Linked DNA regions of Rattus norvegicus. The protein of the gene in region 1 purifies or fractionates together with the protein of each later gene. This does not show direct contact. Links are inferred from orthologs where the notes say so. Each region holds a gene or a part of one and is shown on either strand. Other genes may lie near its edges.

Region 1 (6,971 bases):
GGGACCAGGATACAGATAGGCAGGAGATTGTGGCCTCAAGGTGGGATGAATGGTGAACAGTTAAGGTGAGCTCAAGGGCAATTAGACATTGGAGTGAGGGAGGGGACTCCAGCCAAGACTGAGGGGCATGGAGGACTGGGAAAGACAGGACACGGGTGGAACATGCAGGAACACATACATTCCAGCCAGACCTTTCCACTTAGACTTTAGAGGAGAAAGGAAAGATGAGAGGTCTGTAAGGGGCCTGGTGGAAGATCTAAGTTCCTGTCCCCAATTCTTCCCCTATCCCAAGCAAAATGCAGTCTCCATGACAACCTGCTGGCCAGCCTGAGGAAGGGGGATTGCAAAGGGAACTTTCTACCTCGGCAGGCATGGGAGAGTGTGGGCTTTACAGGAGGCAGTGGGGTAGTAAGCACACAGGGCCACACAAGGCTTCCAAGCCACCATGCCAGCCAGCACAGGAGGGCAAAGGGCTCAAAAAGGACACACATCCCCATTCTGCTCCCTCCTCAGTGGACAGAGTCAGGGTCAAAGTCCAAAGATCATTCACTGCTCAGGCCTGGTAAAGGGGCCAGCAAGCACAGCAGATCCCCACAGCAGGATAAAGGCCATGGACGCTAGTATGGTCCCTCGAGTTCCTCACAAGGTGGGGGTGGTGGGCTATGGCCGCCTCGGTAAGAGCTAGCCTGGGGCCTCCTTCTATGCCCCTGTTCCTAAAGTTCTAGAAACATCTCTGCTCCCACATATCTTTCACCCCAGCCTGCCAGCCTAGCCTGCCTTCTGCCCACTCATTGGGCCTCCCTCCCTCCCTCCTTCTTCTCTCTGCCTCCCTCCCTCCCTCCCTTCTTTCCTCCTTCTCCCTCTCTCTCCCATTTCTGCCTTTCCTCTTGCTCTCATCTGTGTGCGTGCATGTGTGCGTGCGTGTGTGTGTGTGTGTGTGTGTGTGTGTGTGTGTGTGGTATTTGTCTTCTAGGTCTCTGTCTCTGTTTCTGTGTCTCTGTGTGTATGTGGTGGTGGGGGTGAATCTGTATCTCCCCAGCTCTCTAGGTTTCTATGTATTCTGTCTATGTGTCTGTCCATCTCTCCTCTCTGGGCTTCTGTGTATTCTGTATGTCTCTTTCTGGGTCTCTGTTCCCCCACTCCATCTCCCTGACTTGGGGAGTCTCTGTCCTTTTCTTGGGTCTCTCTAGCCCTCCCTTCTCTGCAGGACAGTCCCTTGTGTCCCGCCTTCTGGCTCAGGGATCAGAACTGGGCCTAGAACTTGTTTTTGTGTGGAACCGTGACCCTGGACGAATGGCAGGGAGTGTGCCCCCTGCCCTGCAGCTCGAAGACCTCACTACACTTGAGGAAAGGTCAGTGGCCCACAGAAGGAGCCTTCCCAAAGCTGCTTCTGCCTCTCTGTGTCATATAACTCTTTGACCCTTTCTGAGTCTCAGTGCACATACAAATAAACTAGAATGCACCCACCATCCCACGTCCCTTCCAAGTCAGGATGAGCACTGATGTTCCTGCAAACCCTGAGGAGCCTAGGAGACGGGAGACCTGATTCTTCTCCAGGCCCTCCCCCTCCATGTCTTTCTTCCCAGGCACCCTGACCTTGTGGTAGAAGTGGCCCATCCAAAAATAATCCATGAATCTGGGGTACAAATCCTCCGTCATGCAAACCTTCTGGTGAGCCTCCTCACCCCTCAGTGAGTCCCTCCCTGTGCTGGCTGCATCCCACCCTCCAGCAGTGATCTGGATCTTGGCCTTGTCCCAAGGTGGGATCCCCCTCAGCTCTCGCTGACCAGACCACAGAGCGGCAGCTCCTGGAGGCTTCAAACCACTGGGGCCACACGGTGTTTGTGGCCCGAGGGGCCCTGTGGGGTTGTGAAGACATCAGCAGATTGGATGCAGCCGGAGGCCTCCAGGTGAGAACCATCTGGGCTGCAACCAGAGGGAACATGTAGGAGTCTCTCTCACTCTTCTGACCCTGCCATTGCTTCCAGAGCCTTCGAGTCACCATGGCCACACATCCTGATGGCTTCCGGCTGGAGGGACCCCTGGCTGCCGCACATAGTAGTGGGCCCCGCACAGTGCTCTATGAGGGCCCTGTGCGTGGGCTCTGCCCCTTGGCCCCCCGAAACTCCAACACCATGGCAGCCGCTGCCCTGGCCGCTCCCAGTCTAGGCTTTGATCGTGTCATTGGGGTGCTTGTGGCTGACCTTAGGTGAGCAAAGGGAGTAGGTGGCATAGCTGTGTACACTCAGGATGAACTGACTGCTCTTCTCTGCTGACTGCAGCCTCACCGACATGCATGTGGTGGATGTGGAGCTGACAGGCCCCCCAGGGCCCACAGGCCGCAGCTTTGCCGTGCACACCCACAGAGAGAACCCAGCCCAGCCTGGCGCTGTCACTGGCTCCGCTACTGTTACAGCCTTCTGGCACAGCTTACTGGGTGCGGCCAGGCCCCTCCAACGGTCCCTTGGCGTTTGTGCTCTGCAGAACTCACGTGTTGGGTGTCCCACCCCAGTTTTCTGTCTTTGCCCATCCTTAGTTCTCACTCCCAGGCTTTATGAGCCTCTCTTTCCCCGCCCCGCTTTTTCTCAGCGTCTGGGTCCCCCTCTAGGTCTCTCTACCCACAAGGTACATCTCTGAGTATCCTCTTTGGGTTGTACCACATTACCATTTTCAAAACCCACGTTCACCATGGCCACCTGCATGTGTCTGTGTTGTCATCCTAGTTTTTCATTCTCCCCACAGGCTGCTGTCAGCTTCCCTCCAGACCTGGGATCCGCCTCTGCTGAGTTTCCTCCCCTACCCTTGCTGTCACCTTGACTACTATGGGTCCCAGTAAACATCAGAATTCTGCCCGCTGTTCTCTTTGGCCTCTTTGGTTCCTTGTCCCCACCTCCATGTCGTCACGCTTCGGCTACACACCGTGTATGACGCCATAGCAGCAGCGTGTGAGCTCATACACAAACCAGCCCCCTGAAAGCTATCGCGAGATCATTGGTTACTACATCTCCCAGGAACCTCTAGGCAGCAGTGGGTCCTGAGAGAGAACCAGAAAGGGCTGCGCCGTCCGATGGGAGTTGTAGTCCCATGTGGCAGAGCGGCCCCGGCGGACTTCCGGACTGAGCGTTCTATTTAGTCGCCCTACGGAGGCCTTCGGGAATCGCAGTCCGGCGCGCGCAAGTTGCCGGGAGCTGTAGTCCGTTCCGCCTGCTCAGTCAGCGTGGTACCACCCGAAAGCCGCCTAGGGAATGCGAAAGCGGCCGGTCCCAGGGAGCGGAAAGGCCGGCGGGGTGAGGGCCAGGCGGGCGCCGAGCAAAGTAGGGTGGGAGCGTGCCTGGTTGCCAGGTGACAGGAGGGGGAGTTCCTGTTGCTTAGTGACTGGGAGAGGGCCTTGTCAGGTGAAGGGAGGAGAGAACCCTGGTTATTGACAAGGGGAAGTCTTTCGTTGCTAGGCGACCAGAAGAGACCCTGTTACCCAGAGACGAGAAAGGAGGAGTCCTCCATTGCTAGGTGATCAGAAAACGGACCGGGTTACCAGGCGGGTGGGGTTGTTCTGTTGCTTGGGAACCAAAAAGGTATTGTTTCCTAGGGACAGAAGGGGCGATAGTCCGTTGCTAGGTGATGATGATCCAGACCCTTTTGCTTGGAGACATGTAGTGGGGGTGGGTCTCTATTGCCAGGACAGCAGATAGGAGTCTATACACCACCCACCCCAGGACTGGGCTCTAAAGGTGTCTCTGTGCTCTGGAGACAGCCTAGGAACAAGGCCTTGCGTCCTTTTAAGCTAGCAGCAGTGCCCACCTCAATGGCCATTGCATAGGGACACAGGAATCTAGAGACCCGGATGACCAAGATCCTAGGTGCCTAACACCTCCTTGTCCCACCCCTAGCAGGAGCTGAGGAGGGCATGTCTCAGGCGCCGGAAGCGAGACCAAGATCACCCTCAGTGTATCACGAGCGGCAGCGGCTAGAGCTGTGTGCCGTTCATGCTCTCAACAACGTCCTCCAAGAGCAGCTCTTTAGCCAGGAAGCTGCCGACGAAATCTGCAAGAGGTGACTGCCATTAGCCTGGCCCTGGAAGAGCAGAGCTCCAAGAGGCACGCCTATAGGGGGGCCAAGGGCTCAGATCCAGGAGCTGTTGCCTGCTCTTCCACCTGCTCTCCCACCTGCTGCTTCTCAAAACCTCAGCCCCAGCTTTGGCCTCAACCTCTCTTCTCTGAGCCTCTGTCACAACCTCCCAGCTGTCTGTTTTTCTCCTCCTACCCATCCTACACACAGCCCCCCAACTGCCTGCCCCCTCTTCTGCTTCTACCCCTCTTTGGCTCCCCAGCCCTCTTAGGGAGTAGCCCAGGGCCTTCAGGCTGAACTCCAAGGCCTTGGGTGCTCTGGTCTTTGTCTGCCTTTCTGCAGTTTCATCTAAACTGCTCTCCTAGGCCCCAACCAGGCTGTTCCCCTGTTACACAAGGCTTTTTTTTTTTTTTTCTTCTTGGTCATAGTTTTAGTCATCACTTTCTTTTTTTTTTTTTTTTTAAAGATTTTATTTATTGTATATGAGTACACTGTAGCTGCCTTCAGACACACCAGAATAGGGCATCAGATCTCATTACAGATGGTTGTGAGCCACCATGTGGTTGCTGGGATTTGAACTCAGGACCTCAGGAAGAGCAGTCGGTGCTCTTAACCACTGAGCCATCTCTCCAGCCCTAGTCATCACTTTCTTAAGAAACGTTCTTAAGAATCTCCCCATTCCAACCACTAGGCCACAGGGTACTTCTATGGGCACACAGACACCCCAGGCTGTAGTCCATGCCCACACCCAGAGGCAGACCTTATCCTCAAACTTTAGAAGATACTCATTTCCCCTGCACCAGCTCTTTGTCCAGGGGCATGCTGAACAGCTAGAGCTGAGGCAGATGTACTGAAAGGAGAAGCTGCAGACATGATTGGTTCCCTCCTGACACTGCTCACCGAGGGTCCAGACCTACAGAGGAACAGGGCCACAGAGCTGGGGAGAGCTAGAGGGAAGGCTTGGGCACAAGGGACAGCTGGAGACAGGTGGCTGCTAAGAGCTGGTACTGAGACTATGTAAGGCCTACTTGCCACTGGAGGAGGTGGGAGTGTGTCCTGGGACGATGGGGCACTAGGGAGGGCTCTGAGCAGGGTAGGGCAGGGTATTACCAAAAGAAAGAGGCTCTCTGTTTTCAGATATGGTGGTATGAGTGGCTCTGTCACCCAGGGACTCTGAGCACAGTCTGAAGGCTCCTCTCCCAGAAGAAATGACATCTGACACTGGTCTGGAGAGAGACCATGAGTGGGAAGGATGGAGGGGCAGGGACTTTGTCCAGGGTACTTGGGAGTCATAGAGAAGTGGAAGTAGGAAGGGGGCAGGGCAGCTCAGGGCTTCTGGAGGTCAGAGGTGGGCTGGAGGGAGAGACTAGAGGCTGGGAAGGGTTTCTGAGTTGGAAAAGATAAAAGCTTCAGCCAGTCCAAGAGTGCAGGGCTCGGGGGGTGGAGGAAGGACAGGATTCAAGGCCTGATAAGCTGTATGGGGGTTGAAGAGAGAAGCGTCAAAGGCTAGGCTATGGGCCTCTCCTATTATGTGGGAAGGTGGAGGCCTTTCCAGGATTTCAAACCTTGGCTCTGCCCCCTCACCCCCAGGCTAGCCCCAGATTCCCGGCTGAACCCCCATCGCAGTCTCTTGGGCACCGGCAACTATGATGTCAACGTGATCATGGCTGCCCTGCAGGGCCTGGGCCTGGCCGCTGTGTGGTGGGACAGGAGGAGGTAGGGCCTAGGCAGTGGGCTGCGCTGGCTCTGGGCGTGTGGGATGACACAGAGGGTGGCTTGAAGGTAGACAGGGGAGGGGTTTTGCCAGGGAGGCTATGACAGATGGGGTCTGACTGAATGGTGGGTTAAACTTATAAACTTGGTACCAGTCAAAAGGGTATCTAAATGAGCAACTCATGATTAAGGTGGGAAAGGCATACGTTAGGTCAAGAGCAGTGGAGCCAGCCTGGACTGCATGTGGAGATCCTGGCTCAAAGGGGCCAACAACAAAAAGTTGAGGAGCTGGGGCTGCATTGGCAGAAGGCCAACCCAGCAGATACGAGGTCAGGATTCCTACTCTATAACCTGCTGTAGTGCTGCACATCTGGGACACCTGAGACCCTGCCTAAACAAATGGAAGCTGGAGTTGACAGGTAGAGGGTAATAGGTCAGTGGGTGAATAGACAGTCAGTCATTCTGGGGAAGGAGGCAGGTTCCAAGTGCCTCTGTGACCCACAACCCAGACCTCAGTCTCTGGGGCCTCATGCTGTATCCCTCCCCTCCTCAGACCCCTGTCCCAGCTGGTCCTGCCCCAGGTACTAGGCCTGATCTTGAACCTACCCTCTCCTGTGTCGCTGGGGCTGCTGTCCCTGCCGCTGCGCCGGCGACACTGGGTGGCCCTGCGCCAGGTGGACGGCATCTACTATAATCTGGACTCAAAGCTACGGGCACCTGAAGCCCTGGGGGGCGAGGATGGTGTCAGGTGAGTGGTGAAGGCAGTGACAGGATGGGACAACACTGGAACTGCCCTGCAGGGAGATGGACCTGCCTGGGCTGCTGAGACCTCAGTCTTCCCACTTTCCCCTCAGAGCCTTCCTGGCAGCTGCCTTGGCTCAAGGCCTGTGCGAGGTGCTATTGGTGGTGACCAAGGAGGTGGAGGAGGCTGGCTGCTGGCTGCACACAAGCTGATGTACTGCCTGGGAAGGGTTGCCTGCTGCCGTTCCTGTGTCCAGTGCCTGAAAAGAACCTGTAACTTCAGGCCTCAGGAGGCCTGTCCTGCCCCAGTGTCCCCGCTCCCCTGACCACTGCTGCCTCAATAAATCTGCTCTTTTGTTATCCCTGCCTGGGCTCAGCTCCTGGGGTTGCTCTTGGTCACAGGCCCATGCCCATATGGACACAGAAACCAACATGTCGCCTCCCAAAATCAG
Region 2 (6,639 bases), on another chromosome or scaffold:
AACTAAACAGAAACATCACTTTTTCTCATATCAGCCAGCCTTTATCTCAGGGCAGACCAATCACTGTCATGCTTATCCTAAAGTGCTTTTTTTTTTTTTTTCTTTTTTCTTTTTTTCGGAGCTGGGGACTGAACCCAGGGCCTTGCGTTTGCTAGGCGAGCGCTCTACCACTGAGCTAAGTCCCCAACCCCCCTAAAGTGCTTTTAAACCTAGTTTTATTTTATGTCCTTGTCTAAGAAGTGCTTTGTTCTCCTGCCCTCTGTCCCACCTTAGGCTTTGGCACTGATAGAACTTTATAATGCACCAGAAGGACGCTACAAACAGGATGTGTACTTGCTTCCTAAGAAAATGGGTGAGTGAAAGCTGAAGCCAGCGCTGACCGCAGTTGGCTGCATGGTTTTATAAAATGGCTTCCCTAGAGCACTAGCTGTCGAGTCAGGGTTCTGATTGTTCTCCTAGTGCCTGGCCTCAGGGGACATTCTATTAGCGATGTGAGCCTCCATTTTTGTGAGAAGTAAGGTAAGAATAGTACTGTGTAGTTTACAGGATTGTAGTAAGAATCCAAGCTAAATACGGATGATGTTCTTGTTCTCAAGTACCCTTCCAAAGCTCACCAGGCTTCCCAGGGCAACTAACTATAGCTTAGACCAAAGTGAGAGAAACAGAAACAAGGCGTATTATCCATCTGTTGTCTTGATTGGCAAACCTCCTCTAACCCAACCTATGCGCCTCATGACCACTTACACTTTGCTCATGTGGCATAAACTCTGTCTTGTCCTTTGCTTTTCTCTATACTGACACCCGCCCCATACTTACAGCCAGCCTACATGTCTGACTTTACACTTAAAAAACTTGCATATTGGGGAGATGCTAGTGGTTAAGAACACTTGCTACTTTTGCAGAAGACCCAGGCTCAGGTCCCAGCACCCATTTAATGTCTCACAACTATTTTGTGCTGGGTAAGAGACTCAGTGCCTTCTTCTGGGTTCAATGAGCAGCAGGCACAGATGTGGTCCAAATATATACATACAGGAAAACATGCATACACATAAATTTTTCTTAACTTATTTTATATTGCTTTTGGATATTCTGTTGTTGTTGTTGTTGTTGTTGTTGTATATTTTTTATGTGTATGGGTGTTTTGGCTACATGTATATGTGACCACAGGCATGCCTGTTGCCTGTCAAAGCCAGAAGAGGGTATCAAATACCTGGAACTGGATTTATAGATGGTTTAAGCTGACATACAAGTCCTGGAAATCAAACCCAGGTCTTCTAAAAGAACAGCTGCTGAATTATGTCTCTACTGTGTAGTGTTTGTTGTTGTTGTTGTTTTAAGAAATCATATTCATAAAAGTTAGGGAACGATACTTAGTATGTGCCTTAGAAATCTTATCAGGAGTTGGGGATTTAGCTCAGTGGTAGAGCGCTTGCCTAGGAAGCGCAAGGCCCTGGGTTCGGTCCCCAGCTCCGAAAAAAAAGAACCAAAAAAAAAAAAAAAAAAATTATAAGAGTCTTTTGGGTTGGGGATTTAGCTCAGTGGTAGAGCGCTTGCCTAGGAAGCGCAAGGCCCTGGGTTCGGTCCCCAGCTCCGAAAAAAAGAACCAAAAAAAAAAAAAAAAAAAAAAAAAAAGAAATCTTATCAGTCTAAATATGTGGCTATAGGGAGCCTGTCTTAAATAAATGTCAGTGACAGGAGGCTCTTTTAAGTGTGTTAGATTCATCTTTATGGTTCATGATTTGATGATGGTTTAATATAGTTAAGGAGGCTGCCACAGGAAGCTGGGTGTAGTGTGTGACATGGTACCTACTCAAGTGACGCCAAACTCTGAGGAGGAAGTACAAGGCACCCATTCGCCAATCGGGTGCATGACCATCTGCTTGCCCAGTATATGTGCTTGAAAGACATCATTTCCTATATATACAGCTTGGAAAGCTTTCTTAATTAAACACATATTTCAGGTTGTGGATTCGTTCAGGGTTGTTCCACTGCTCTTCCTGAGTAGTTTTAAGAAATGAAAATAGGAGGGAGGCTGTGCCCTAACGGCCTGTCTGACAAGAAGCCTCCTGCCCTTACTGCTCTTCTCTTCCCAGATGAGTATGTTGCCAGCTTGCACCTGCCATCATTTGATGCCCACCTCACAGAGCTGACAGATGACCAAGCAAAATATCTGGGACTCAACAAAAATGGGCCATTCAAACCTAATTATTACAGGTAACTTGGAAGAAAGCAATGAAAAGTTCTTCCCCAATATTAGACCAGCCAGTCTAGTCTAGCCAGGTTTCTTCAGTAAAGATACGTGTCATGTGTGATACCTAAGAGTATAAGGCCACCACTGCAGGTTAGCAGGAATGACTGGGTTATTCAGGATTGCGTGCTTGCCTAGTATAGTGAGGTTCAGTCCCCACCTCTACAGAAAACCAAATTAGCAAGGTAGTCAGAGAAAGTGTGAATCCACCAATAGATGTAAGGAGCTAAGTGTCTTAAGGTCTTAGAAGGTGAGCCTCACCTCAGGAGGAACCCACGCAGGAATGCCCCCAGTTTGGGCTGGGAGGAAGCTTGGGAAGATGCTGTGTTGATCTCAGAAAGTACGTTAACAGGCCCATCTCTCTCTTTTCAGATACTAATGGACGTATTACAATGACCAGTCCACACGAACCACGCAACTCTAATAGAGTATTTTTTAAGATAACTTTTATTTTCTTCTTATTACTTTCCTTTTGATTTTTTTTTCTATAATTTCATTTTTTTTCTCATCTCATCATTTGAGTTTTGCAGACCACACAGGAACTTGCTCCATGGCTGTTTAGGTGAAACTGAGGTCAAAGGTTTCTCACCTTTAGTCACTAAAAGGGGTTAATTCTGCAGCCCAGAAAGTCAATTCTTTAACCATTTCTGGGGACTTTGATCGCATTTAGTTACCATATTAACAGAAAATGCTAAGGCATCTTCTGTGTGGAACAATCTACAGTGTCTAAATTGCCTTAAAAGAGACTGTTCTAGCTGCTGGAACTAGTGCTCTTTACTTCTTCAGAGGAGCCAGGATGGCTCCAGCCAGGTAGGTTAGACGTAGGTGGTGCATGTCAACTTCCCGTAGACAGACGCTCTAAGCCGTTTCCTGTCTAAGATGGCGTGTCTGCAGAGATGTGTGCTGTTAAACTCCGTAGGCTCACTCGGATTTGTAGTTCAGCCCTTCCACCAGTCTCTCTCATTGTTCTAGTTTTAACTAAACTGCATTCTATCAAGTTGAATTTTGTCCCTTAGCATTTATTTGTTTTGTTTCTTTTAATTAAGGAAAAATTTTAGTGTTAATCCTGAGGAACAGCTCAGGTGGTTAGTTACCAATATCTCTTTTGAACCTTTGAAGCAAAGTGTCAAGAGTTGAGGCTAGAAAAATGCTAGCCTCAGACTCTGATGTTTCCAGCTCATAGTTTATAGTGTCAGTGAACTGGAGCCATAAGCAAAACTTCTCAGCTCTGCCTCACGCAGCTTATGCTGACGGCCGATTTCTTGAGCCATTACTCAGTATAAAACACTGAGCCCTGTCCTTAGGGTTTATCCTTTCAGAGCAAACCTGTGGGCAGCTGTGCTTCTGCAACCTAAACTGTTTGAAGGGAAGTTTGCATAGATGGAAGAAAGAATGACAAATTGGGCCAAGGTGAAACAAATATAACTGTATAATCTGTTCAGAGCTGGAGACCTTGTCTGCTGTTAGTTTTATAGACATGGTGCCACTTTTGATTGACACTTGCCACAAAAATAGAAAATAAAAATTGTAAACTGAGATCTTAAAGACTTGGTGGAGAAAGTACATCCTGATTCATGCTCTAAGAGAATTCCAAGAGACCCTCTAAAATCAGAGAGACTTATTCCCAGGCCACGCACCCGCTTGCCAGCATCTCTGCATGGTCAAACGAGCTTCAAGCTCAAGCTTTAGGTATATAATTATCCGGGATTTTAAGTCCTCAGCGTGTTCTAGCTTGTGATCCTTCAAAGATGGGTTATGTGTTAATGATAGATACTGGAAATGTTTACTTCTCTCTTTCACTGATCAGAGAAACAGGCATTAAAAACAGAAATACAAGAAAGGAAAGCTTTTACCCTGCACCTTCCTTGCAGGGAACAATTATCTTGCCAAAACTTTTTTCCCTTTCATCTCCCATTTCTCTGTACCCAGCCCCTTCCTGCTCCTTTCCAATGTGATCATGCTTTCTTCTCTATAGATACTAACATTTGAAGACCCCTTTCCTAAGGCACTTAACCATCCAATCAGAACACCACACTCAGTAGGGCCTTATCTTGGCTAACAGCAGTGTATTCATCTGGTCAGCTCTACTGGAGGGAAGGGGCCAAGTTCCTGCTGCCCTCTAATCTGCCCTCTGGTCCTATCTATTACTGTGTCCATAGGAATAATAGGTAAGGGCTAGTCTCTGTCAAGCCATGTAACAAAGGACACTGGAAAATGTCTGGCATCAGAGGGAACATTTGGAGACCAACTTGGGAGGAAAATATTCATTTTGTATTGAATGATTTTTAATGAATGCAATATTAATCCTTGCAGATGAGCAATAATCATTAAAGTCAATTAAAAGTGATAAGACATAATGGTAGTCCTGTGTCTTTTTTGGTTAAATAGCAAAACTTCATTAGACTGTTTCCTAGGTTGAGATAAGCCATTTGAAGACAAGGTCTGTCTTATGTAAGCTGGCCTCAGACTTCTTGGATCAAGTCATCCTGACTCAATCTTCCCAGTAGCTGGGACTATAGCATTACACCAGTGCACCCAACTATCATTAATGTCTCGAGTTGCAATCTGTGTGTAGGTCACTGTTGAGTGGCACTGGAGCCTTTAGGAGATAGGACCTAATGAGAGGTGCTTAGGTCACTGGAAGTGTGACCTTGAAAGGAATGGTATGCCATCGCCCACTGTTGTTTTTATGTCCTAGCAGTGAGGTGAGCAGTTTTGTTTCCACCTTGAATTTTTGTCTTACTGTTCTGCCTGACATAGACCCAAAGTAATGTGGCCAGTCAGTCATGAACTGAAACCTGCCTTCAGCACCATAAGCCAAAATATTTTTATCTTTATGAGTTAATTATTTTGGTATTCACCATCGTGATGGACAGCTGACTAGTGCATATGGATGTTGATCTGAATTCTTGCTGCTGTAAAAGAGCCGGCGATGTCTCAACTGATAAAAGTTCTTGCCTTGTAAATATGAGGACGTAAATTTCCTTCCCAGAACCCAAGTAAAAACTGTGGGGTGTGTTGGCACATACTTGTACATATGTCCCAGCTCGGGGGGACAGACAAGGAGGCTTGCTGGCACTCACTAGCTAGGCAGTGCAGCCTAATTGGTGAGCCCCAGGCCAGTGAGCTGCCCTGTCTTGAAGGAGGAGAATTCTGCACCTAGGATTATTCTCTGGCCAACAGATGCACACGTATTTATGTAGGTAAACCTGCATACATGCACACACATCAAACAACTTGTGAAACTGGGCATTCTATAGAGGACAGAAATGTACTCTCAACATGGAGGCTGAGATGGCCAGGATGAAGTAGTCAGCAGACTAATGATGACAGGCTGTTCTCTGCTTCCAAGACTGGCATCATCACAATGAGAATCCATCAAGATCTAACACTTACCCTATTCCATTCAAATGATGTAATAATTTGTAATATCACATTGGTGAATCATTTTCAACTAATGAATTGAAAGGAGTACATTCAGGCCACAGCATTCTGCCCCAGCCTCCAAAATCCATGGGTTGTTTGATTGGTTAGTTGGTTGGTCTTTTCTTTTTTTCGGAGCTGGGGACCGAACCCAGGGCCTTGCGGTTGCTAGGCAAGCGCTCTACCTCTGAGCCAAATCCCCAACCCCGGTTTTTTCTTTTTTTAGATTTAATTATATGAGTACATTGTAGCTCTTCAGACACACCAGAAGAGGGCATCAGATCTCATTACAGATGGTTGTGAGCCACCATGTGGTTGCTGGGAATTGAACTCTGGACCTCTGGAAGGGCAATCAGTGCTTTTAACCACTGAGCCATCTCTCCAGCACAGTTGGTTGCTTTTTAATCTAGAAAATAATCTAGTAGTTCCAAGTTTTAATTTCAGCACCAGCTCTAAGGTCTAAATCCAGAGGCTCATCAAAATCAGATATGTAATCACGTGGTGGCTCACAATGATCTGTATAATAGAATCTTGGAATGCAAGAGTACGTGCAGAGAGAACACTCACACAGAACAAAACCTGAAGGCTTGCTCTGATCAGCTGTACTCTAAATGAAAGTGTATCCCATCCTTGTTGCTCCCACTATTGTGAATCTCTCTTAAGGGCTCACAGGTAAAAACTGGTCCTGTCGCCCTAGGAAGACGTCTCTTCAAAAGGAACTATAGAAGCCAATTATCAGAAAAGTAGTATGAGTAAAGGCTTCTTCCTGGGAGTCCTCTTGGTTTTCTAGTTTTTCTTAACTGGCTTTTCTGTTGCAAGTCACCCTAGCCCACATCACCCTGAATTAACCTCTTTCTAAATCAGGTTATCCCAGTTCTCCCTAACACACAAATGATGAAATAATACTGTCTACATCCTCCTCACCTGTTACAGTTTGGACTTTCCCCATAGGCTTGTGTGTCTGAACA

What was found. The genes of interacting proteins can lie anywhere in the genome.
Region 2: the proteins of Josd2 (region 1) and Ahcyl1 purify together in Homo sapiens (affinity purification with mass spectrometry; 4 studies listed by BioGRID and IntAct, counting the BioPlex papers as one, with this or other methods). This does not show direct contact. The link is inferred for Rattus norvegicus from reciprocal best matches to the Homo sapiens genes JOSD2 and AHCYL1.

Annotation. Positions count from the first base shown.
Region 1 is NC_086019.1:104,094,393-104,101,363, forward strand, and holds Josd2 (josephin-2), read left to right. Parts: upstream 1-3,167; 5' UTR 3,168-3,245; coding exon of another isoform or gene 3,246-3,287; intron 3,288-3,449; coding exon of another isoform or gene 3,450-3,507; intron 3,508-3,887; coding exon of another isoform or gene 3,888-3,904; coding exon 3,905-4,050; exon of another isoform or gene 4,051-4,094; intron 4,095-5,655; coding exon 5,656-5,781; intron 5,782-6,331; coding exon 6,332-6,526; intron 6,527-6,632; coding exon 6,633-6,732; 3' UTR 6,733-6,879; downstream 6,880-6,971. Other genes in the region: Aspdh (aspartate dehydrogenase domain-containing protein), read left to right, coding at 611-674, 1,208-1,352, 1,587-1,671, 1,761-1,910, 1,989-2,209, 2,283-2,437, 2,743-2,786. UniProt on the Homo sapiens protein: Cleaves 'Lys-63'-linked poly-ubiquitin chains, and with lesser efficiency 'Lys-48'-linked poly-ubiquitin chains (in vitro). May act as a deubiquitinating enzyme.
Region 2 is NC_086020.1:197,980,301-197,986,939, reverse strand, and holds the end of Ahcyl1 (S-adenosylhomocysteine hydrolase-like protein 1), read left to right. Parts: intron 1-273; coding exon 274-352; intron 353-2,093; coding exon of another isoform or gene 2,094-2,218; exon of another isoform or gene 2,219-2,620; coding exon 2,621-2,724; 3' UTR 2,725-4,596; downstream 4,597-6,639. UniProt on the Homo sapiens protein: Multifaceted cellular regulator which coordinates several essential cellular functions including regulation of epithelial HCO3(-) and fluid secretion, mRNA processing and DNA replication.